Linked DNA regions of Diceros bicornis minor. The protein of the gene in region 1 purifies or fractionates together with the protein of each later gene. This does not show direct contact. Links are inferred from orthologs where the notes say so. Each region holds a gene or a part of one and is shown in the gene's direction. Other genes may lie near its edges. The genes, in order: GNG8 and GNB5.

Evidence for each region.
Region 2: the proteins of GNG8 (region 1) and GNB5 purify together in Homo sapiens (co-immunoprecipitation; 3 studies listed by BioGRID and IntAct, with this or other methods). This does not show direct contact. The link is inferred for Diceros bicornis minor from reciprocal best matches to the Homo sapiens genes GNG8 and GNB5.

The regions. Positions count from the first base shown.
Region 1 is NC_080773.1:22,191,152-22,202,487, reverse strand, and holds GNG8 (guanine nucleotide-binding protein G(I)/G(S)/G(O) subunit gamma-8), read left to right. Parts: upstream 1-6,727; coding exon 6,728-6,811; intron 6,812-7,454; coding exon 7,455-7,583; 3' UTR 7,584-7,657; downstream 7,658-11,336. UniProt on the Homo sapiens protein: Guanine nucleotide-binding proteins (G proteins) are involved as a modulator or transducer in various transmembrane signaling systems.
Region 2 is NC_080744.1:48,137,691-48,150,987, reverse strand, and holds the start of GNB5 (guanine nucleotide-binding protein subunit beta-5), read left to right. Parts: upstream 1-6,608; 5' UTR 6,609-6,669; coding exon 6,670-6,781; intron 6,782-13,297. UniProt on the Homo sapiens protein: Enhances GTPase-activating protein (GAP) activity of regulator of G protein signaling (RGS) proteins, such as RGS7 and RGS9, hence involved in the termination of the signaling initiated by the G protein coupled receptors (GPCRs) by accelerating the GTP hydrolysis on the G-alpha subunits, thereby promoting their inactivation.

The DNA.
Region 1 (11,336 bases):
TTTTGAGTTAGTGCTTTTTGTTTTCTTTCAATAAATACCCAAGAGTGGAATTGCTGGATCATATGGTAGTTCTATTTCTCATTTTTTGAGGAACCTCCATACCGTTTTCCATAGTGGCTGCACCAATTTACATTCCCACCAACAGTACACAAGGGTTCCCTTTTTTCCACATCCTCACCAACACTTATCTCTTGTCTTTTCAAGAATAGCCATTCTGACAGGTGTGAGGTGATAGCTCATTGTGGTTTTGATTTCCATTTCTCTGATGACTAGTGATGCTGAGCATCTTTTCAGGTACCTGTTGGCTATCTCTGTCTTCTTTGGAAAAATGTCGATTCAGGTCCTTTGCCCGTTTTTTAAATCAGATTGTTTGTTCTTTTGCTATTGAGTTGTATGAATTCTTTATATGTTTTGGATATTAATCCCTTATCAGATATATGATTTGCAAATATTTTCTCCCAGTCAGTAGGTTGCCTTTCATTTTGTTGATGGCTTCTTTTGCTCTGCAGAAGCCTTTTAGTTGGATGTAGCCCTACTTGTTTAGTTTTGCTGTTGTTGCTTTTGTTTTGGTGTCAAATCCAAAAAAATCATTGCCAAGACCAATGTCAAGGAGCTTACCACCTATGTTTTCTTCTAGGAGTTTTATGGTTTCAGGGCTTACATTCAAGTCTTTAATCCATTTTGAGTTGATTTTTGTGTATGGTGTAAGATAATGGTCCAGTTTCATTCTTTTGCATGTGACTGTCCAGTTTTCCCAAAACCAGTTATTGGACAGTCCTTTCCTCATTGTGTATTCTTGGCTTCTTTGTTGAAGATTAGCTGTCCATAGATGTGTGGTTTTTTTCTGGGCCCTCTATTCTGTTTCATTGATCTATGTGTCTGTTTTTATGCCAGTACCATACTGTTTTGATGACTATAGCTTTGTAATATAGTTTGAAATCAGGGAGTTTGATGCCTCCAGCTTTGTTCTTCTTTGTCAAGATTGCTTTGGCTATTCAGGGTCTTTTGTGGTTCCATACAAATTTTGGGATTGTTTGTTCTATTTCTGTGAAAAATGCCATTGGAATTTTGATTGGGATTGCATTGAATCTGTAGATTGCTTTGGGTAGTATGGACATTTTAACAATATTAATTCTTCCAATCCAAGAGCAGAGAATATCTTCCATTTATTTGTGTCTCCTTCAATTTCTTTCATCGCTGTCTTATCAATGGCTTTTAGTATAGTCACCCAGTTGTGCAACTACCAGCAGAGGAAATTTCAGAACATTTCCACCACCCCAAATAGAAACTCTGCACCCCTTAGCTTTCATCTTCCAAGCTCCCCTGCCCCTGGCAACCACTAATTTACTTTGGTCTCTATAGATTTGCCTATTCTGGACATATAAATGGACTCATGAATATGTAGTCTTTTGTGACTGACTTTTTTCACTTAGCATCATGTTTTCAAAGTTCATCCACGTTGTAGCCTGTGTCCATACTTCACTTCTTTTTATTGCCACAGGATAATCCACTGTTTGGATCTACCACATTTGGTTTATCCACTCAAGAGTTGATGGACACTTGGGTTGTTTCCATTTTCAGGCTATTATGAATAACGCTGCTGTGGACATTCATGTACAAGTTTTTGTGTGGACGTATGTTTTCATTTCTCTTAGGTAGACATTTAGGAGTGGAATCACTGGGTCCCGTGGTAACTGTTTAACCTTTTCGGGAACTGCCAGACTGCTTCCTGAAGTGGTTGCACCATTTTACATTCCCACCAACAGTGTTTGAGGGTTCCGATTTCTCCACCTCCTCACCAACACTTGCTATTATTTGGGGACTTTGTTTCAAACAGGGTCCCTCTGGCTGCTCTCTGGGGACCAGGCTGAAGGAGACAGAGGTAGAAGCTGGGAACCCAGTGAGGAGTGACTGTAACAGTGAGGCAGGAGAGCGTGGTGGCTGGACCGGAGTGCTGGAGCAGAGGAGGTAGGAAGCGACTGGATTGTGGAGAGACTTTGAAGATGGAGTTAATGGGATTTGTTACTAGATCAGTTCTGGGGTGCAAGAGAGGGAGGAGAGTCAAGAATGACCCGAAGATTCTCTATCAACTGAGACAGGTAAGACTGCGGTAGGAGAGGGTTCGGTGGGTGGAATCAGGACCTCAGTTTCGGACGCCTTGAGTTTAAGATACCCACCAGGCATATATATATATCACATCTTCTTTATCCATTCATCCACTGATGGACACTTAGGTTGCTTCCGTATAATATTCCAGGTGGGACTATTCAGTAGGGATTGGGTATTCGAGCCGGATCCTAGCATTAGTTGGCGTTCATTGCACGTTTCTTGAATAATTAAAGCCAGGACTGAATCCGAATCCAGGGTCCCAGTTGCCCCCTCCAAAAAATGGGGACAATACTTCCACTGACTACCAGGTTGTCAGCAGGCTGGGGCGATTCTTGTGCAGCACGGGGCAGGACTGCACACCTGGAAACTAAGGTTATGCGTAGGGTGGACAGACGGCCGAGGCCCGCAGGTCGGCAGAGAAATGGAGGTTACGCTGGGTTCAGGCAGTGTCGTCCATCCGTCTCCCCCGCCTCCCAGCCTCCGGCTGCCGTCGGGGAGGAGGAGGGGAGATTGGGTCGTCACCCTGTCTTCCCTCGCTTAGGCTGGGTTTCCTCCTCGAGGGCCGCCCAGGCCAAAACTGCTGATGGAAACCAGCTGCAGGAGGCGCCCAGGCTCGGCGCACGCCCAGGCCCCTCCCCGGCGCCGGCAGACCCCGCTGGGTGGGGGGGGGGACGAGGGCGCCCCAGCTTCCCTACCCCCTTCCGCAGCCGGGCCCCGGGCCCTGGCACGTCCGGCGCGCCTGATGCTTTCCAGATGTGAGCCTGGTTCCCCTCCCCCACCTGGCCCTGATTCTCCTGCGATGGACGGGGGAGGGGAGCCAGGGTCCAATACCCCCCTATCAAATCGCTACTAAGGACCCAGGCCGGTGTCCCCTCCCTGCCTGTCTCCCTTCCCTGTCCAGGCGGTAAAAACCGAACTGGGATGGGCAGACTGCGGTAGAGACGCTCCTCCCCCACCTCCACCTCTTCCCAGTGCTTCAGCCTCCGCCCCCCCCGCAGCGGGCTCGGGTGGCCTTGTTGGGATCCAGCCCCAAGACCCGCCCCTCGGGGCACGCCGCACCCAGGCCCCGCCCCTAACAGCCCGCCCCTGGACACGCCCCTGATAAACCCCGCCCCCGGACCACGCCCCTTCGAACGCGGGCCCGCGCCCCCGGCCACGCCCCTGGGACGCGCCTCTGCCGACAGGTCCCCTGCGGAAGGCTGGGTCTGCGTGTCTGTCTCTCTGCCCGCGTCTATCTCTGTCTCTGGGTGTCTGTGTTTCTCGGTCCCTGCCTCTGACTCTGTGTGTCTCTCCTGCCCCCTGCATGTCTCTGTGTCTCTCTCTGCAATCCTCTGTCTCTGTCTCTCTGAGTGCCTAGGTCTCTCTCTCTCCAAATTTCCGTCTCTGTGCCCCTCTGTCTCTGCGGCTCTCTGTCTCTGCCTGCATCTCCGCCTCTCTCGGAATTTCTCTGTGTCCCAGTCCATCTTCAGTGCTCTCCCTCCAGTCCCCTCCGCCTCTCTCTGTTTCTCTCTCCGCTGCCTGCATCCCCGGCCGGCCCGCGCGGGGGCGCCTGGCCCTCCCGGTTCCCACCCATCCCTACGGCCTCCGCGCCGGCGGGGTGGGCGGCTCGGCGGGCCGCGGGCGCCCCCGTGTGGCTGACCGGGGCTGTCCAGAGAGGCCAGAGAGCTGAGTGTGCGCTCCCGAAGGCTGTGCCCCGTGCAGGAGGGACACTGTGGGTGCCCGTGGGTGACCCCGGGAGATGGTGTGTAACCCCAAGAGACGGTGTGAGTGCGTACCACTGTGAGATTGTGCGTGACGCCAGAGGTTGTGTGCTGCTGTGTGACCTTGTGAGATTTTGTGTGACAGAGATTGGGTGTGACTGTGGGAAATCGTGTGTTACACCGAGAGGATGTGTGTGTGACTGTATGTGAGATGAGAGAGATGATGTATAGGGGACTGTGTGTGACACTGAGTTTGCATGTACCTGAGACACTATTTGGGGGACTCTGTGACATGCAGAGACCATATGTGAGAGTGAGAGATTGTGAGTGTGCAACATGGTGAGGACAAGAGCGCTGTGTGTGTCACACAAACAGGTGATGTGTGAGAGAGAGTGAGACTGAATGAATGTGATACACCAAGAAGGCAGTGTGAGAGGCTGGGGGGACTGGGTGTGACAGAGAGACTGTGTGAGTACGTGTCAGCCACACTGATGAACTGTGACACACTGTGTGTGACAATGTGTGACACAGATCGTGTGGGCTACTGAGAGACACACTGTTGTGACAGTGCGTGAGAGAGTGTGTGACTGTGCAGGGCACTCAGAGCTCAGAGTACAAGAGAGACCATGTGTGTGTAAGTGTGCAACACTCGAGATTGCTGTGTGAGGGTGACAGCTGTGTGCGACAGACTGCGTGAGGCTCAGCAAGAGATTCTGTACACGACAGTGTGTGTGGTGGGACAGACTGTGTGTGAGGGAATGTGTGTAAGATTGTGTGTGACAGCGGGAGATTGTGCAAGAATGAGCGTGGCTGTATGTGGGAGTCAGTGGATGTGAGACTGTGTGTTGCTGTGTAAGACTACAAAATATTGTGTGACAGTGCTTGACAAAGAGGTTTGAAGTCTCAATTCATGTAAATGTGTGTGACACCTTGAGAGATTGTGTGTGACACTGTTTGTACATTTGACACCCTGAGATGGTATATCTGACTGTGGTTGTGCAAGACGTCATTGGTGATGATGTGCCATGCTATGAAAGATGGTGAGGGACCACGAGTGACATTGTGAGAGACCCTGTGACTGTGGCGCTGTGGGAGGTTGTGTGTTGAGCACAGGTTGATTGTGAGACTGTGTCGCAACACTGGGTGCCCCAGCGAGATACTGTGCATCTCTGTGTGAGGGACGGCGAGTGTGAGTCTGTGTGCTGAGAGGGGTCGTCTGAGCTGGGTGACACTGAGGTGGTGGGTGTGACAGGGTGGGAGAGCATGTGTGACGGAGTGAGAGCCCATGTGGGACACACAGGAGAGATTTGTGTGACTGTGCAATAAGTGCAGCAGGGTGTGGGGCACGCCTTGAGAGACTGTGTCTTTGTGTGTCTGTGTTTGTATGTGAGACAGAGACAGGGATAGAGAGAGATGGCTAGGGGAGACTGGGAGAGAGAGAGAGAGACACAGACAACACAGGAGACAGAGACACAGAAACAGAAAGACGAAGAGGGGGACGGACAGACATAGAGAGAGGACCCAGAGAGACAGACCCAGTGGTGGTGGAGGGAGGAGGCGGGTCCTCAGGGGCTGCGCCCTGGGGGAGGGGGCGGGGCGGGGCTGGGGACAGGGGACCCAGACGCTGCCTCCCAGCCTCTGCCACCCGCCCGCCATCCCAGCCCTGAGTCGCAACAGGTAGGAGGCTCCAGTCCTACCCCAACAGCTAGTCCCTCTGCCCATCCGGCCACAGTCTGTCCGCCTGGGAATGAACGAATGCATGAGCGAATGAATGACTTTATACCTCTGCGTCTCCATCTGCCTGGCTCTCCCCCAGCCCCTCCATCTCCCTCTGTCTGTCCCCTGCTCCTTCTCTCCTCTGTTGCTGTATCCCCCTGTGCCTCTCTCTCGCCCTCTATCCGGTCCCTTCCTCTACTCCTCCATTTGTCCCTCTCTGTCCTCTCCCACCCCATCCCTCCTGCACCCCTCCAGCTCCCCTTCTCTGTCCCCCTCTGTCACTTTGTCCCCCCGTGCCTCCATCCCCTCTATCATCAGTCCCTTCCTTTGCCTCTCTATTTGTCCCTCCCTCTACTCCCTCCATCACTTCATCCCTCCCCCATCTCTCCATCTCTCCTTCACCCTCCTCAGTCTCTTTATTTTCCCCCGTGCCTCAGTCTCTCCCTCTGTCACTTTGTCTCTGCCCTTCCGTTTGTCTCTCTCTCCATCCTCTCTTCCCCTCTCCCAGTCATGGCCGGTGTGGCCCCCCCCGGGTCCCCCCAGCCCTCTCTCCGGCTACTAATGAGCAGAGGAGCCTTTGAGGTGGCCAGGTCTGGGGTGGGGGGGCCCCCGAAGGAGGTGGAGGGGGCAGCTGCTGCCAAGGCCCTAATGAGGCCCCCTCTGCGCCCCTCCCGCGGCGATCTTAATTCTTTGTTCTCCCTGGAGCCGCCGCTAATTGGCCTGGGGAGGGGCCCCCTCCTGGCTCATGCTCTATCCCCGGGGGCCCAGGACACCTGGGTCCTCACCCAGCACCTGTGGCCCTGTCCCTCTGTCTCCCTCTCCACCTGCCTCTCAGCCTCCCATCTGTGCTTCCCTCCTGCCTTCCCTCGCCCCTCTCTGTTCCTCCACCTGCCTCTAGGTACCCCATTTGTGCACCCCTCCAGCCCTCCTCTTGCCCCTCTCGTCCCTGTTCAACTGTCCCTCCTTCGGCCTGCCTCTTGGGCCCTCATCTGTGCGTCTCTTCACCCCTCCCCTTTTCCCTCTGTTTTCCTGTCCCTCTCTGCACCTGCCTCTGGGCACCCCATCCGTGCGCCCTTCCACCCACGCCCCTGTTACTGGGGCCCACCACCACCGCCACCCTTACCTGGGGACCCAGACTTGCCCTAGCCCACCCCCTCAACGCCCACTCCCGCCCGGCTTTTAACCCCTTCTCCGCCGCAGCCATGTCCAACAACATGGCCAAGATCGCCGAGGCCCGCAAGACGGTGGAACAGCTGAAGCTGGAGGTGAACATCGACCGCATGAAGGTGCCGGGTCAGGGTGGGGAGGAAGGCGGGGGCTCCGGGGCCAGGGTGTGGACAGGGCGGGGTTGGGGGTGGAGCCCGGAGCCGCAGTGGGAAGATCCTGTTCCCAACAGGGCTGGACCCGGGGCGGGGCCCGGGGGAGGGGCCTTGGGACGGGGCGGTGCCGGGCGAGGGGAGGGAGCCCGGACAGGGGCGGAGCCTGATAAGCGGCGGGCCCGGGGCGGGGCCCGGGGCGGGGCCGGGCGAGGGCAGGGCGCCCGGACAGGGGCGGAGCCTGGTACGGGGTGGGCCTGGGGCGGGGCACGGGGCGGGGCCGGGCGAGGGAAGGGCTCCCGGAAAGGGGCGGAGCCTGATAAGGGGCGGGCCGGGGGCGGGGCCTTGGGATGGGGCGGGGCCGGGCGAGGGGAGGGAGCCCGGACGGGGGCGGAGCCTGATAAGCGGCGGGCCGGGGGCGGGGCCTTGGGATGGGGCGGGGCCGGGCGAGAGGAGGGAGCCCGGACAGGGGCGGAGCCTGGTAAGGGGCGGGCCCGGGGCGGGGCCCTGGGGCGGAACCGGGAAAGGGGCGGAGCCGGGACAGGAGCAGGCCTGGAGGGGCCCGGGGGCGGGGCCTCGGGGCGGGGCGTGGACTTATCCCGGGCGCCCGCAGGTGTCGCAGGCGGCGGCCGAGCTCCTCTCGTTCTGCGAGACGCACGCCAAAGATGACCCGCTGGTGACGCCGGTGCCCGCCGCAGAGAACCCCTTCCGTGACAAGCGCCTCTTCTGCGTCCTGCTCTGAGCCTTCCCGACAGCTTACCTTCCCCTGCCACAGTATGAAACCAATAAACGTGGTGACTCTGGTGGTACCCGTGCTTTCGGGGGAAACTGAGGCATGCGCAGATTTGTGTTCCTTCTCATTCCTTCTGAGTGCGTGTGGGATGTGGAGGGGTGGGGGTGAGGATATGCTGGGTGTGTTGGCACCCAGGAGGTAATGGGGTGAAGACTGTGGACTCCAGCGCTGTCGGAACCCTCAGCTGGCCTCGCTCCTCTGCTCAGTCCTGGGCTGGAGACTCCTGGGAGCCCGGGTGCCGGTCCCACTTTTCTCATCCCCTGAATGACAGGACCCCCTTTTTTCCCATCTGGCTGCCGCCTGCTGCAGGGCTACCTCTGTCTTTAAGCACTGAACTCTGTTCATTTATTCCTTCTTCCAAGTACTCCCTGAGTACCTACTCTGTGACCCACCCTGTGCTGGGTGAAGCTAGGGATATGGCTGTGATGGGGACAGCCCTGCTGCTGTCCTCCTGGGGCTCAGAATCCAGTGGGAGAGACAGATCTGTCCCCAGATAGTGACACCCCGAGTGGGCAGGGCTGGGGTGGGGGAGCTCAGAGGGAGTGCCTGACTCAGCATAGAGGGCTTCCTGGAGGAGGGGACATCTAAGCTGGAACATGGTGGTAATAAAACTTGGGGACCCGGAGAAGAGAGAAGCTTGGCTAGAGGTAGAGACAAATTAATGGGTACATTTCTTCCTTCAACAATAATTTTCTTTGTCCTGGGGACACCGGGGTGACTGTGACAGCTCCGGTTACTGGCCCTATGTTTTCCACTTCACATATTGGTGGCCTACGGAACATAGATAGCCTGCAGTTATATTTTTTTGGTTCTCTTCTTTTGGCCTACATAATGTTTAAAAATGTTCTTGACTTGGTTGCCAGATTGAAAAATAGGAGTACATCATATAAAAGTCCCTATTTCTAGCTTCTCCCGAATTGGAAAGTCTGGTGACCTCAGACCTGCACAGCCCCACAGGGTGACCATAGGCTATGAGATGGGACCTGGACTTTCCAGCTCACCCAAGGCCCCACCGTACCGTATTGTCTCCCGGTTCAGGAGGCTGAGGGCCAGTTGTTATTTATCATGGAGCCCGTGTTGGGGGCTTCTTAGGGTGGAATGAGGAGAAAAGTGTCACGTCTGTTGAAAATGAGGAAATGCAGACTGGGTGAGCTGTGGGTTTGGTTAATTATTTTACCTGGTTGGCCTGAGGGCCTCTGAGTTCGCGACCCTGTCCCCTCTCCTCACCCCCACCTCCTCTTCTCTCAAGACTAACACCTCTGCTCCCCAGCTTGGGGCTGACTGAGGCTGGACCCCTGGGTTTGGATGGAGCCGGCTCACCAGGCCTCCCCTCCCCAGAGGGGGCTGTGCATGCGTCTGGCAAGTGCTCCATTATTCACATCGGATTAGGGTCCCCTGGGTCCCCACTCTGAGCTTCCTGTTGCATTGATCAGGAGCAGCTGTAATTACATCTCTCTCCTGCCTCCCACCTCTCAGCTGGCTCCGACCTAGTTGCATCATGTCTGGGGGAGCCCCGGGGGAGAGAGGGGGACAGAGAGAGCCAAGGATGAGCTGGGGGGCAGGGAGGCTGGGAGGGAAGTTGCCGGAAGGATTCTGGAATTTCTCAGGCCCAGCACCCTAGAACCTGAAATGCAAAGGAATCTAGAATTCCAGGACCTTGGAGGGCTGGAATTCTGGAGTCCTTCAATCCTGTGGGGCCAGGATTCTGGGGTCCTGCGGCCTTGTCCAGCTAGGACCCGGAGCTCGGCACTTAAATCCCGGACTGTGGGAGTGGGACCCTGTCAGCCCTGGGGTCTTGGGGCGGGGTAGCATAGATTCCTCCTCCTGCGCCTTCCTGGTCTTGAGGAATGGAATCCAAGGAGGAGCAAGCAGAGCTGGCTGACCTGATGTGGGGAAGGAAGGGCGGCCAGAGGACATGTCTGCCTGGAGGAGGAGGGAGAGGGAGGAGGGGGGCTGAGCGAGCCTGGACCTGGTCACGACTGAGGCTGGGAGGGAGGAGAGGCCAGAGGGACAGGGCAGGTCCCGAGTGACCAGCCTCCACGCATGCAAACCCAGATAACCTTGTTAGTGGGTATGACTCTGCAGCACAAGCTTCTGGTCGCCCGCTGCTCTTTCCTGCCACCCCCAGCCATGAGGTCTCTGGGGTCAGAGCCAGGCCAAGAGGCAGAGAGGTGAGCGCCCTCAGTGGTCCCCTCCCACTTTACCCCAAACCCTGAGGGCGTTGGCCGCCCCTCCAAGGCTGTCTCCCATCTGCACCCCACACGCTCAGAGCAGTGCTTGGCACGGCTGGGGGGCTGGGGGTCTGGGGGAGGGGTAGGCCAGAGCTAGAATGAGGATTCATCATGGTCCTCTCTTATCAAGAGTCTCATTTCACATTTCACTTAATTCTCCGATAGCCAAAGGGACTCTGCTTATCCCCATTTTGCAGACATGAGACACAGGCACGAGAGGTGACGCCTCCTGGCCAGTTGGGGCTTGAGTTTGCAGTGGGAGCCAGTGCATGAGTGGGCAGGAGGGCTGGATGTGTTCGGGGGGCTTGAAGGATGGACGTGAGGGTGTCCAAGGTGAGGGCCCCCGCCAGACAGAGGAAGGGCAGGGACGACCCAGTAGAGCCCCCTGGAGCAGGGGCGAGAAGCAGAGGCCGGCAGGTAGACCGGGCCCGTGGGGGTGGAGAGAAGGGTGTGGCAGAGAAAAACGGCCTTTAGCTGTAGGTGCTGGGACCTGCCGAGTAGGGGCAGGTCGGGGTGGCACATGGCAGCTTCCCGAAGCAGGGAGAGGGCACAGGCGGGCGGCGGGCTTGGCAGGCGTGAGCAGCTGGTGGCGCGCGTGTGGGGGACGAGATGGGGCCAGCTTCTTCCCAGGGCACGGCCGGGAGGATGGAAGCCAGACCGTCAGCAGAGGGTCGGGCCCAGGGCAGGCCGGGATCTTAGGTCAGCGGTCCAGATGCAGGCCTGGGCAGGTGGCTGGAGGCGCTGGCCGGCAGGCGTGGGTGAGGCCCATTAGGGCCCCATTTCCTGGCCGGCTTTGGCGTTTGCCCTCTTGAGGACACCGACCCAGATGGGAATCTGGGCTGGTGTGGAATGACTCAGCTGAGGGCCTGCCTGCCCAGGCTCCGGCTACCTTCCTCCCCCATCACTCGTCGAATGTCATTTGGGAGCAAGCCCCCTCTGGCCCTTCAGCATCCCCGGCCTTTGGAGCACAGTAAGTGGGTTAGGGTTTGTTGAATGAATAATAGGAAGAGCAGCAGCTCTTTGAGGGCTTGCTGGAGGCAGGCAGGGTGAACTGCGTCTCTCGTCTCCACACACGCTCCAAGGGTGAGGCAGCCGTTCGATGAAGAACATCACGGCTGAGATAGGGGAAGTCATTTTCCAGTGTCACACAGCATGTGGCTGTGAGTGGTGGAGGGGACGTTCCAACCCCACTGTCTTTCCCCTGCACCAGGCGGCCCCTCCACATGCAAACACACCTGAGTGGACACAGCCACAAAGCAACACGTGAGCCCACAGTAAACACACGTGCACAGACACACAAAAAGACACACAAATAGACCTTAGAGAAAATGATGCTCACCCACTGTCACCACACACATACACACTCATCTTGCTGATAAAGTGCTCACTTTCGACCCCCTGGTGTAGTGGTTAAGTTTGTGTGCTCCGCTTTGGCGGCCTAGGTTCATGGGTTTGGATCCCTGGCGCGGAT
Region 2 (13,297 bases), on another chromosome or scaffold:
ACCCTTTTGATTTTTCCAAACTTTCTACAATGACCATGTATAACATTTATAGCTGTAAAATATTATAATCTTTCAAATTTAGTTTGTAGCTTGCCCATGTTTAACCAACCAAATCTAAAATGCTAGCCAAATCTAAAATGTGATATGATATAAGGTTGATATGACTCAAAACTTTTGGTCTCCGTTAAAAAATGTTGTTTTCTAAGAATATGCAATGACATGAAGACAAAAACACTATTAGGCAAAAAAATGAAAGTTCAAAATTGTAAATGGCACAAATTCTGATTTTTAAAAAAAGTATACACATATATGCTTATGAAGATATTGGAAGAAAGTATGCTAACAGGTCAGTTATTTGTTGGCACAGGAATAATTTTCCTTCTTCATGTTCTTCTGTTTCCACTTATTTACAATGAACATGTGCAGCTTTTATAATTTGAAAAAAAATTAAAATTCAGTCTGGGAAGGAAAACGTTGTCTCTATTCAGATTTGGCATATCGACAATTTGTTTCCACTTCTCTTTTTCTTGATCTCCCACAACTCCCAGCCATCCTTCTGTTCCTTCTCCACTTGGTCCCTGGGGCTCCTCTTCCCTTCCGTTCCTGCAGCTGCTGCTCTCTCCAGAGCTCATCTCCTCCTCCCCAGAACATAACAACAATCTCTTAGCCTAGTTGATGTTCCTGCTGCACATTCTCTCTCTGACCCACTTCTGGAAGCGCAAATGCTGGAATAATCCACTTGAATACCCATGGCTCACCTTCCTAATGCTATTACTTGGAGACCCCAGCACGGCCTAAGGTCGGTCGGGCTGCCTTGGCAGGCTCAGGAGGGGAGGGGCAACGTGACAGAGCCCCCGCCACGGGCCGGGCTCTGTGCGCAGGCCCTTTTGTGCTGGTTAACTCGCTTGCTGGGACAAAGCTGAGCAACTTGATCGTGCTGCTCCACAGTAAGGGTTGCTGAGTTTCGCTACCTACAGGTTCAGGCTCCACCGCCGACCTTGAACTAGTTGTTTAATCCCTCGACTTTTCCTCAGCAGTAACACAGATGTCCTGCCTCCCCGCTGCCAGGGTGGCTGTGAGAGTTCAGGGCCGAGCGCTCCACGGTGGTCAGTAGCTGGTTCCCTTCTGATCTCTCATGCCTAAAGGACTGCCCTCTACTCCTTTGTCACCTAGTGATCTCAAGAACTATGCCAGCTGCCCCTTTGCTGTAGGAGTTCAACCCAGTTCATGAGCTCCCCATTCTCTCTCCAGCTCCACGGTGACCTCTGCAGTGTGGACATTCCCTCTCAGAGGTGTCCCCACTGCCCTCTCCTCCACAAATACATCCCTTTCAAATTTGGCTCTGTTGAAATATTCAGACCAGCGCTCCAAAAAAACTCAGAGGGTCATTTCTTTGAACCTTGACAGGGCCCGCTCTTTGGAACGCCTATTAAATTGGTACGGCTACAAAGTCTTCTCCCTCCCACCTAAACCTCCTCGTCCTCCATCTCTAGCAGTCGCACCACAGCCCCTCAGCCTCCCAAACAGAAATCTAGGAGACATAGACATCTCTGTCCCCTCGTTCCCGCATGTCGCCAAGTCCAGCTCCTCCTCCTCCTTCATAAGTGTGGTCCAAATCCATCCCACAGCGTTGCTTTAGTTCAGGCCTTCATTGTGTCTTGCCTGACCTGTGGCCATAGGCTCTTCTCTGCTCTTGCTGCATCTCTGGCCTCATCCCCCTTCCCTCCCCTCCTTCCTGCTGCTGCTGTGGCAGCCACTCACAGGGCAGCATAACATCTATGGAGCATTCAGTATATTCCGGCCTTGACCTAAGTGCTCTACGCACTCTCTCTCATAATTCGCCTGACAACCCTATGATGGTAGGTTTTAAGATCCTCATTTGATAGATTAGCAAACAAAGATTCAAAGAGGTCGAGTAACCTGCCTAAGCAGCGCGACCCGGACCCAGTCAGCCAGAGCCAGTACCCTTCTCCACTAGATGGTTTTGCTTCCTCAAGTTTGCGCTCCCTTCTGTGGCCTGGGCCTGTCTGTTGACTTCTGGGTGGACAGGCAGGGACTCTGGGTGTATGGCTGTTAAATGTTTAATAAACGGGATGCGTTCCTTGCAGGGAACCAACACCGCATTTACCTGGCCTCGTGGCATTGGTCGGGGTCAGGCTCCACTATTTTCTGGCTCTTGTTTTTACTCCAAAATTCACCCTGAGAGGAGGAATTTTTTTTTTTAAGTTTTAAATTATAGTATCCATTACAATGACACTGTCCACTGTGAAGCCCCACGGGATTAATATTGTGCTGCAAAGATCAATTGTGACCGAGTCTGCAAGCTGCCAAAAACCGGTTAAACATGAGTTCAGAAAACCTACTGTCTGACTCTTTCTTACTGATTAAATAAGTGAGTTGGGGTTGACCTAGCATGTTATAATAAATCACAGGTTACAAATTAACCATATATTCTTTATCCCACATGTAGGAGTTGGAGTAACTACGTGATAAAGGAAGATGAGGTTTTACAAAGCTGTTTCTGTTGGCTTTTCTCTCTCACACATACCTTTTTTTTCTCTCTCCCTTTCTCTTGCAGCTTCATCTTGGGTAAAAGATGTGTGATCAGACCTTTCTAGTTAATGTATTTGGCTCCTGTGACAAATGTTTCAAACAAAGGGCTCTGAGATCGGTTTTCAAGAAATCTCAGCAGTTCAGCTACTGTTCAATATGTGCAGAAATTGTAAGTGCCACTTTTTAAAAATTTAAGTAGTTACCTGTCTTACAACGATATCTAAGGTGAGGGTCCTGTGACAGACGAGTTGCCGTAGAATCAGTTTACACACAAACATTTTCAGCACACCTGGGCTAGGTGGGCCAGCAGACCATGCGGGTTTAGGGTGTGGACTCTGGTCTCTGATCGCCTAAGTTCAAATCCTAGTTATGTTGTTAGGTGATGGTATGCCAACAGATCTTGCCTCTCTCAAGAGATCTGTATTCCCATCTGTAAAAGAGGAAAAACAGCATCTATCTCACAGGGTTTTGTGAGGATCAAATGAGTTCATTTGATAAAGTGTTTAAAACAGTATGGTGCACAGGAAGTGCTCAATGAATGTTTTAGCTATTATTATTTTTTAGCGCTAATGCTTTTTTCTTCTGTCTTCTACTAGTCTGCTTGGCAAGCAACCAAGCTAAAAGGGACTCTGAGAAATAAATAGCCTGGGAGCACCTTTCCAGTGGTCCTGTGCCAGCTGTCCCTAGGAACAGCTCTATTCAAGATCCAACCAGACAGGGCCTCAGTAGCGAGCAAAATTAAGCTCAGGGAAAAGTGCTCCTTGGGCCTAAGCCTTCAGCGAGGGCTAGGGACAGGACACAAATTCTGGCATTTGTCAAAGTACACAAATCAGTCCTCAACAGGCTATGCACAGTCTTCAGATCTAGCAGCAAAAAGGGCCACAGCATGGCTGAAGCCCTAGGAATTATTAGTCCTATCTCAGAGGATGTGCAAAGCAGTGCTCAGTAGCGCAGCTGAGTGGAGCCTCCACCTGGTCAAAAGCAGTAAAGCACTCTTCCCCAATAGCCCAATAGGAAATCCCCAATTATCAACACATTAAAAAAATACATATCAAAGGGAGGAAAGATGACATTTACATTTTATTCAACTGAAGAGGAAAGGCAATATTCATCCTCCTGGTCCCATTGTAACCCCTGACAGTGATTACATTTTAAAACGTTATTCCCATAAAACAAATGGCAGGTAGACAGGACAGGGTGACACACAGGCTAGTAATCACAGAGGTACAGAATAGTAATCCTGAGGTCTCAGGATTCAGGCTCAGGGAACGGGCTTCTACCTGCAGCACATTATGTTCTAAACTTGGTTCTGCAAATTCTCAAACTGAGGACATTCAGTTCTTAAAATAAATCTGCTTTTTGGTGGCCCTACCATCCTGGAGCAGTGCTAGTTATTAATCTAGCTCTTCTGTTTTTTAAACAACTTCCTGTGTGGACAGCAGGAGCCCAGAATGCCAGACATGGGGTCCTCTGAGGCATCATAGATTCTCAGCAGGTCAGAGGCCCTGCCTGGAGATACTCTTCAGGGGACTGTTGCCGGCTATCTCCACCACAGCACTTCCCAAATATTCAGACAGACGTCTTTGGCTGAGGAGACATCCAAATGACGGACAGCTGACCTTTTATCCAGGTGCTTGGGATTGTGTAGACACAGCCCCCAGGGGACCCTTTTCGTGAGTAGGGGCAACCCTGTACCTCCACCACCCCTGAAATCACCTTTTCTGATCTCCAGCTTCCTCACTTATGAAAAGTAGTGAACGCCAAAGTACAGGAAGGCACTTTGCAAACTTTTCCAGCCATTAAAAAGTTACATGGCCTCATCTCTAGATGGTAGACTCTCCAGATGGGAGGGTGTTTGGGGTTTATTTTACACAGAGAACCTCCAGAGGAGGGCACACAGCAGTGTGACACTCCACTCACCCCAGGTCTTCAGAGACAGGTAGACCCCGAGGCAGGCATACACACCCCATGATGGTCCAAGACGTGTCAGCCTGAGGAGAGGGGGAGAGGATGCTGCTTTGCCTGGGCCTTCTGAGATGACCCTGTGAGAAGCGTTCCCCGTGACCTAGTGTCTCATTTCAATGACTTCATGTGAATTGCTCAAGTGTATCAGGTAGCCTTAATAATAATAGCGAGCACATACTGTGTGCCATGCATTGCTCTGAATGCGCTACGTAGTCACTCTTGACAAGGACCCTGTGAGGAAGGTGTTATCTCCATTTACAGATGAGGAGCCTGAGACACAGAGAAGTTAAGTAAATCACTCAAGCCCACACAGCACAGCCAGGATTTGCCCCCAGGCAGTCTGATCTAGATAGAGCCGATGCTCTTAACCTTTTGCTCTACCAACTCTGAAACAGATCTAATGTTTTTGCTTTTGTAAATGGTTGAATGTATCTAGAACATTTATATATTTTGTATCTCATTTTATATGTTTTATTTTTAATTATATATTTCATATATATTTACATATTTTGTTTTATACATCCATTGAATAAACTAACATTAACTGAGCACCTGCTATATACCAGTCATTAGGCTAAACACTGAGGATAAATGATGAATAAACCTTATTGATGGGTGGGGAGAAGGGAACTGGCAGTTAATAAGCATCTGCTGCGATGGAGCAGTTGGCTAAGAGGTTCACGCATATCATCTGATTTAATTCTCATAACAGCCCTGTGAGGTAGACGCCATGAAGTAGATTTTCTAGATGGGGAAACTGAGGAGCTCAGAATCTAACCTCCCAGACAACTATGTGTAGACTAATATAGATTACTTCCAACTTTTCTTAGATAGAGAGGGCCTACGACATGTCAAGGCTGGATTCCTCAAGAAGAAGGGGTACAAAGAGGGTGGGGATAGCACCCAAGAGTCTGCGTGGAGACGTTCACTTAAGCATTTGTAACCTCGATCTGCCTTCCCATTCTGTAGAGAAACACACGCGTGCCAGGTCATGGAGCTGGGAGGAGGGAGAAGCCATGGGTTGGGTCCTCCACGACGAAGTCCGGAGGCATGGAGCCGAATGGAGCCAGAAAGCCTGGGTCCAAATCCTCCCTTTGCCTCTTTCTGGGAGTGTGAACGGATTAAATCATTTAATCTTTCTGTGCCTCAGTTTCCTCATCTGTAAAATGGAGATGATAACAGTACCCATTGAGGGTGACAGTTGTGAGGATTAAAGGAGTTAATGTAAAGCACTGGGAACAGTGCCTGGCCCCGCAGGGGACTGGAAGAGGGGATGCTTGAGTCTGCCGTCAGTCACCACATTTGTGTCCTTGAGAGAACTGCAGCCGCCCTTCATTCTAAGGTGGGGGACGCTGCCTCACCAGTGACACGTCCGAGATCTCTGGACGTGGGCTTGGAAGCCCCGGGTCTGGTCCCCTGTGCACCCCTCACCCAGCCAGGGACTTAATTCCCGAGTGAAGAAAAGAAAAGCAAAAACCAAGAGCAGGCCTCCTAATGCCACAAAGACCCCAGAGCTTCTCGGAAGCCGGAACTAGTTTTATTTTTGTATATTTAAGTCAACCAAGGAGGAAAGTTTCCGGTTCGATGTCGGGGGAGCACCCGGGATCGGGCCGGGTGTCGTTGCCCTCTCCTCTCTCGTCCACTCTCTGCAGGTAGAAGCCACTGGCAGGGAATCAAGTCCCCGGCGGCGGGGGCGGGGGGGACTGTGTCACTGGGACTTCACCAGACTCCCAGGGGCCAGGCAGCCCTGGGTTGGAATCCCAGTTTGGCCCTTCACTACGTTAGCATCTTCCTGGCAAATCACGGATCATCTCTGAGCCTCGGTTTTCCCAGCGGTGAAATGGGCACGACGCTCCGTGCTTCTCCGGGGTGGTGTGCGCAGCGGCGCTAAGGCGGGCAGGGCCCGGGGTACTGCGCCAGGGCGCGCGCAGGAGGTGCCGGGGCGGGGGGCGCGGGGCGCGCGGGCGAGGCCGGCGCAGAGGGGGGGGATCGGCCGCCGCAGCCGGCTCGCGGCGGCCGCGTCAGCGCCGGAGGGCGGGGCGCGCTCGAGAGACGGCGGCTGGAGCTGCGCCCGCTCCCCGGCCGCGCCTCCGTCGCCCGCTCACCGCAGCCCGGCTCTCCGCTTCCCTCCCCGCCGCGTCCCCCGCGAAGATGGCAACCGACGGGCTGCACGAGAACGAGACGCTGGCGTCGCTGAAGAGCGAGGCCGAGAGCCTCAAGGGCAAACTGGAGGAGGAGCGGGCCAAGCTGCACGACGTGGAGCGTGAGTGCGGGCGGGGCGGGGGCTGCGCGCCGGGAGGCGGGCCGAGGAAACGAGACAGGCGCCCGGCTCCCGGAGGAGGGGGCGGCCCGGGCCCGGGGCGGGGGCCAGGCCTGCGCCGTTCCGGGGATGCGGGCCCCGGTGTCCGGCACCAGGTGAGGCGCGGGCAGCGGCCTGGGGGGTGTGGGGCCCGAGCTGGGCGGCCCTCGGAGGCTCCAGGCACCTTGCAGAGCCCCCGCCCGCCTCTGGGCGGGGGAGCCCGGTGGTGTCAGCCCCTGGCCTCTATCCTCCCGACGAAGGATCGTGGGACCGGTTACTGTCACCACTTTCCTGGAAGATGCAAACTGATCCCATCCCTGCCCTTCCCAGGCGGGGCGGGGTGGAGGGGGTGGCAGTGGTGGCCAGCGCAGCGAGCCCGTGTGCGCGAGGCCTAGGGTAGACTCCTGTTTTGTTTTTTAATCATTTGGCTTTCTCCGTCACTGCCGTGTCTTTTCTCACTTTTGCTTTTACAAGGAATCAGACTCTTTTTTTAAAAGCTAATTTTTCCAGTCTCCCCCTCTCCTGGTGGCTGCAGAACCGGATGGGGGAAGGGAAGCCGAGGAGCTTACCAAATTAACCATTTAGTTCATTGAAGGCTGTTTAAGAAGCTTTTTTGGATGGATGCAGTGTGATTGGCATAAAAGAGCAATAGCAATCTTGAATAAATTTACGTTGTTGACCACTACCATAGTTCAGAACCGGTCTGTGATTTTTAAGAGTGAACAGTTAAAAAGCCAGATTAAATAGCTCTTGGCGGGATCAGCTTCCCTTTGACCTGTCAGACGGTTCGTCCTCAGCAGAGCTTCGGTCCGGGCCAGGCTTGGGGAAGTGGCCTTGTCTGCTTACTTTTCAGCTCTGAGGCTCGCGGCTCCCCTTTCCGAGCACAGCCTCCCCGTAGTGCCCTCAGGTACACCTGTACATTGTGCTCCTGCCACTCCTACTTGGTACCACCCCCTTTAAATTGTGTTTGAAAGAGAAAAATGGGGTTCATGCTAGGTCCCTTACCACCTGGTTCCTTTCTTTGAAAATCACTTGAAAGAAGCAGATGACCTAATCTAGAGTATGCTGTGCTTTTATAGGGGCCTCCTCTAAATAGGAGGCACACTAAGCTCCTATGTCATTTAGAAATGTGTCCAGCTACAATTAACTATAAATCCCAAATAAAGGAGTTAAGCAGATTGAGAGTTATTTTTCTTACATAACAAGAACAAGGGTAGGCGATTGCCAGCGCTGGTTCAGCTGTCCAATGTGCCGTCAGGGACCCACACTCTTGTCTTTCTTCTCCACCACCCTGAGAGCGGTGGCATTTGCCCCATAATTATAATATGACTGCCACAGCTCAAGACATCACCTCTGTATCCAGGGCAGGAAGAAGGCGGAATGTGGACACCAACCTCTATTTCTCCTTCTTGTCAGGAAAGCAAAAGTTTTCCCCAGAATGTCCCTTACAGACTTCTGTTTGCACTTCATTAGCCAGAACTGGGCCACATGGCTACTGCAATGGAGACTGGGAAAGCGAGAACGGAGCTGGGCACATTGCCATCCCCAAACAGAGCTGGATTTCAGGGAGGAAGTAGGTAATGGATATTGGGAGGCATGGGACAGGGTCCGCCCCATTTCCCTTTACAAATTCCTACTCTCTGCAGCTGATAACGACAATGCTGTAAGCGTGGCATTAGTGCCTCTGAGGTAGGCCGTCTGATTTCTCCATTTTACAGATGAGGAAACTGAGGTACAGAGAGGTGAAACGACTTGCCGGAGGACCCCAGCTAGTAAGTGGTGGGACCAGGATTCCAGCCCAGCCTCAAGTCAGCTTTTCTGCAGAGCCCATTGTACTCTATGCAGAGGGCCTTCTCCAGAAACTCACGTACTCAGCAGTGGCAGGCTGCCCACTCAGATGTCTTTCAGCCTTTTCTGTGAATTGGTAAATTGCCTTAAGGCAGAGAGGTTGTCAAGATGCAGCTTTTCAACAGGGAACCCCTCTCCTGCCAAGGATGCAGTGCCCTCAGAGGCCAGGGCCAAATTTTGGACCCACAGTGGAAGGATCTATCCCCACCTGCATAAGTCAGAACTTTTGAATTGAAAAGACCTGGGGCCGGCCTGATGGCATAGTGGTCAAGTTCGCGCTCTCTGCTTCTGTGGCCCGGGGTTCACTGGTTCGGATCCTGGGCACGGACCTATGCACCACTCATCAAGCCATGGTGGCAGGTGTCCCATATATAAAGAGTAGAGGAAGATGGGCACGGATGTTAGCCCAGGACCAATCTTCCTCAGCAAAAAGAGGAGGATTGGCAACAGATGTTAGCTCAGGGCTAATCTTCCTCACCAGAAAAAAAAAAAAAAAAGACCGGAAGTCATGTGGTCATGTTCCCCTTTATTCCCCCTGCAGCTTCTGGACCACTTCTCCTCCATCCCCTCTTATCCTCCCCTCATGTAAAACCCTTGCTCCTTTGAAGTTCCCATTATTCAGCTGACCTACCTCTTCCCCCCTGTGTGCTGCTGTCTCCTGACCTCCCAGCCAGGCTCCCTCACTTCTTAAGGACTTTGGCACATGGCTTGAGCCTTCCTTTTGACCCTAAGCCCTGCCCCATCCCCGGTGTCTTCAGGGTCCACAAAGGTGACCCTCCTAACACGCTGGCCCCTCACTCCATCACAGCCCCCTGGGATCTTCTTAGCACTCAGAACTGCCCCTCCTCTGACTGCACTCTCTCCCACGGAGATGTCCATGATCCAGGATCACTGGGCTCTTCTCTCTTCCAGTCTCTCAGCCTCTCCCCGAGACTGCACATTTATGCATTTCGGTGTTGTCGTATAGACAGCCCTGTAGCCCCTCCCCTATTCGAGGAAACTTCTATAGGCCATAAGCTAAGGTGACTACATCATCTCGGTTTGCCCGGGACTCTGGGTTTTAAAATGGAAAGTCCTACATTCTGGGAAACCCTCAGTCCTGGGCAAACTGGAACAGTTGGTCAGCCTTCTGTTAGCTCTGACTTGCCCAAAGTCTTGCCTTTAGAAAGTCAACACAACAAAATTGTAGAGCATACACTTGGAGGAAAAGTGAGATTTTCCCAAGTCCAGACCCCCACTTCTTCAGCTCCCATCCCTTTGACCCTCAGACCAGCGTCTATTCTGTGGGGCCCTCATCCTGAAGTCAGACCCTTGGCTGACATTCAATACAGGAGTGGCTTAGACGGGTGGTCTACAGGGAAGCCAGCCTACGTCCCACTCCACAGCCCAGCCCCGCGCCCTGCCCCTGCCTTCCCCCTACTCCTCCAGCGCTTCCTGCTTCTCCCTGGAAACTTCCCCTGTCGCCTTCTGCTTACCTTCCACCAGGGGGAAGTGCTCCCCTGCGTGATTCTAAGGCATTTTAGAATCACTAGGTTGCAGCTTGTGTTAGTTTCCTGTTGCTGTTGTATGACTTCCCACAAGCATAGTGGCTTAAAGCAACATAAATTTATTCTCTTACAGTCCTGGAGGTCAGAGGTCTAAAATGGGTCAGCAGGGCTGCATTCCTTCTGGAGGCTTTGAGGGAGAGTTCATTCCTTGCCTTTTCCAGCTTCTGGAGGCTGCATTCCTTGGCTTATGGCCCCACATCACTCCAACCTCATTTCCATCATCACCTTTCCTTCTTTGACTCTGATCCCCCTGCCTCCCTGCTCTAAGGACCCTTGTAATTACATTGGGCCCGTCTGAAAAATCCAGGATAATCTTTCCATCTCCAGATCCTTAACTTAATCACGTCTGCAAAGTCCCTTTGCTTTGTAAGGTAGCATATTTGCGGGTTCCGGAGATTGAGATGTGGACATCTTTGGAGGGCCTATCACACAGGTCTTAAACCTGGAAAGGGCCACCTGCCTCAGCCTCAGTCTTCAGGCACAAAAAGTTTTCTTCTCTTCCCAACAACTCAACCCCTTTTCCTGTGGGATGAGGAAGCAGCTGAGATCCAAGGAAGGGTTTGGAGATTTCCCTAAGGTTATGCAGCCGCTGTAAAGGAGAATGGGGAGTAGACTCCAGGCTCCTAGTACAGCTCTCCCTCTGACCATGCCAGGCCACATCTCAGCAAGTTAAGATTTACATTTAAAAGGAAGAAAAGTAAATCTGTGTGTGTGTATACGAAAAGGTGTCAATATTAAGTAAAAAAAAAAAAAGAGAAAAAAGAAAAGTGCCAAACAGTGTATATAAAATGATCTTATTAGCTTAAACAAGAGATGCTTACATATGCATTAAATTTCTGGAAGGATACACAAGAAACTTGTCATCTCTAACAAGGGGTCCAGAGGGGTAGGGGGAAGCAGAGGTACTTTATATGCATCTGGGCATTTACTGCTTTTATAATAAAAAGGAAAAAATGGTCTGGGAGCAGCCAGAGCAGGAGGGCACCGTGTTCATTTCAGCCAGCATACACGGCAGCCTCGTGGGGCTTTATGGGGGCTTCATCCAGATTCCCAGCTCCTCCGTGGCAGATTCTAATGTTGTCTAGGAACGAAGCAACTCAAAGAAGATTTACGTAATTTCTCTAAGTACAAATCCAGACGAAGTTTGGGCAAGTGACAAGATTTATCATCAGATGCGATTCGCTTTTCTATCTGCTCCAGGTGTAACTTGGTGAAAGGTTTTATTCACAAAGGCTCTATGGCTGGAGCCTTGGACTCTTCTGATTTTATGATGTAGGGAGAAATCTAGAAAAGGCAAATTTCGGGATTAGTCTGAAGCAAGTGTGTTGATTCACTTTTTCCGTGTTCTAAGGAGATATGCCGTGTGTACTGAGGCTTAGAGAAGTGAGCTTCCCTACAGAGTAATCCACTTCCCAGCTGCCCCTCCACATGTCGCCCGCAGCCCTCAGAGGGAGCAGAGGGCAAACCGCCTCTCACGTCCCCTCCCTTCCCAATGCTCTGTGTTCGTAACTACACACGAGCCAGCTAGTGCAGGGGTCTCTACAATCCCATCATAATAAACTGCAGCCTACTGCAGTAGATTTAGAAACATAGAAGAAAATGTCATCCACGACCGCACCACTGAGTGGTAGCCACTTTAAATATTCTGATGTATTTCATAGCGTATGTTTTCAGGTTTGTGTATCTATTTGTAAGCATACTTGGGATTGTACTAGATACAGAGTTTGAGCCTAGTTGTAATTTAACATAATGGATTGAACAGCTCCCCATGTCATTATATGGTTCTTTTTAATGTCAATATTTAAAAATTATTATACAGAACCATATAGTATTCCGTCTTAAAGGCTGTACCATCACTTAACCTTTCCAACTTTTAGGGAAAGTTGCCCCTACCCTGCCTTTTTTTGGGAATTCAGGGCAGGATTTTTTGTTTGTGGTTAAGATAAGGTTTTAAGGCAATTCGAAAGTCTCTGACAAGCACCATTGAGGTAATGTGAGTGTAGATGTTTTCCTTCCATCCAGATGTTTCAGGGTTTTGTATTCTGCCTTGGGGTAGAATTGGACAGAATGAGTTTTTAGAAATTGGTTTTGGGAGCCAGCCCTATGGCCCAGTGGTTAAGTTTGGCGAGCTCTGCTTCAGCAGCCCGGGTTCGGTTCCTGGGCATGGACCTACACTACTGATCGGCGGCCAAGCTGTGGCAGCGACCCACATACAAAATGGAGGAAGAAGGGCACAGATGTTAGCTCAGGGCAAATCTTCCTCAGCAAAAAGAGAAAAAAAAAATTAGCTTTGGATCATTTTTCCTCGATTCCTTTGATCTTCTACCAAATGGTGGCCAACAAAAGGCTGTATATTAGTGCAAATATTAGACAGTGATTCAAGATCATTTTTTAAATAGTTGTATTTTCCTATTTAAGACATCTTACTTGTCTTTAAGACTTTGAACTTGTCTTCTGTATTTCCAGTCAGTTGCACAGTGTTCACGTTCAGGGAGATTTTAGGGCTTGTCCATGCTCAGGTCATTCTTTTGATGGTCTTGTGGAATGATGAGAAGGAGCCTGTTGCACATTTCCACTTTATGAATTTATATGGTTTGGATTCTTGTGTATTGACCTGCACACTACATATTTTACTTTAGGTTCCTGTGTGCACAGATTATAAAATAAATTGCAAAACCATTTCCTGAAAGTTGAGAGGAAGCCACATCTTGATGAAAAGTTCATCTTTGCCTGAAACCAGAATTGTAGCTTATTTCCAAGGCCCCATTTATATAAAACTCATTTTACAGAGGAGGGCACAAGCTCAGAGGAGACATTTGTCTACCACTAATTTATAAGTTGTGCCCTCCCCTCAGACCTCATTTTCCTTTTCTGAGTCGTGCTCAGCATGACTTGTTGAGTTGCTAAGTCTCTTCTGGCTCTAACTCAGCACCACTCTCCCAGCCAGGTGGTGGCTGAGCCAGGACCAGGGCAGGTTTCTTGACTCCTGGTCTACAGTCCTTAATTCTGACCCATTGCTCTGGTTACATCAGGAAGTGTGGGATCCAAGGGTGGGGTCTCCTACACTAAGAAGTCATTGCACTGC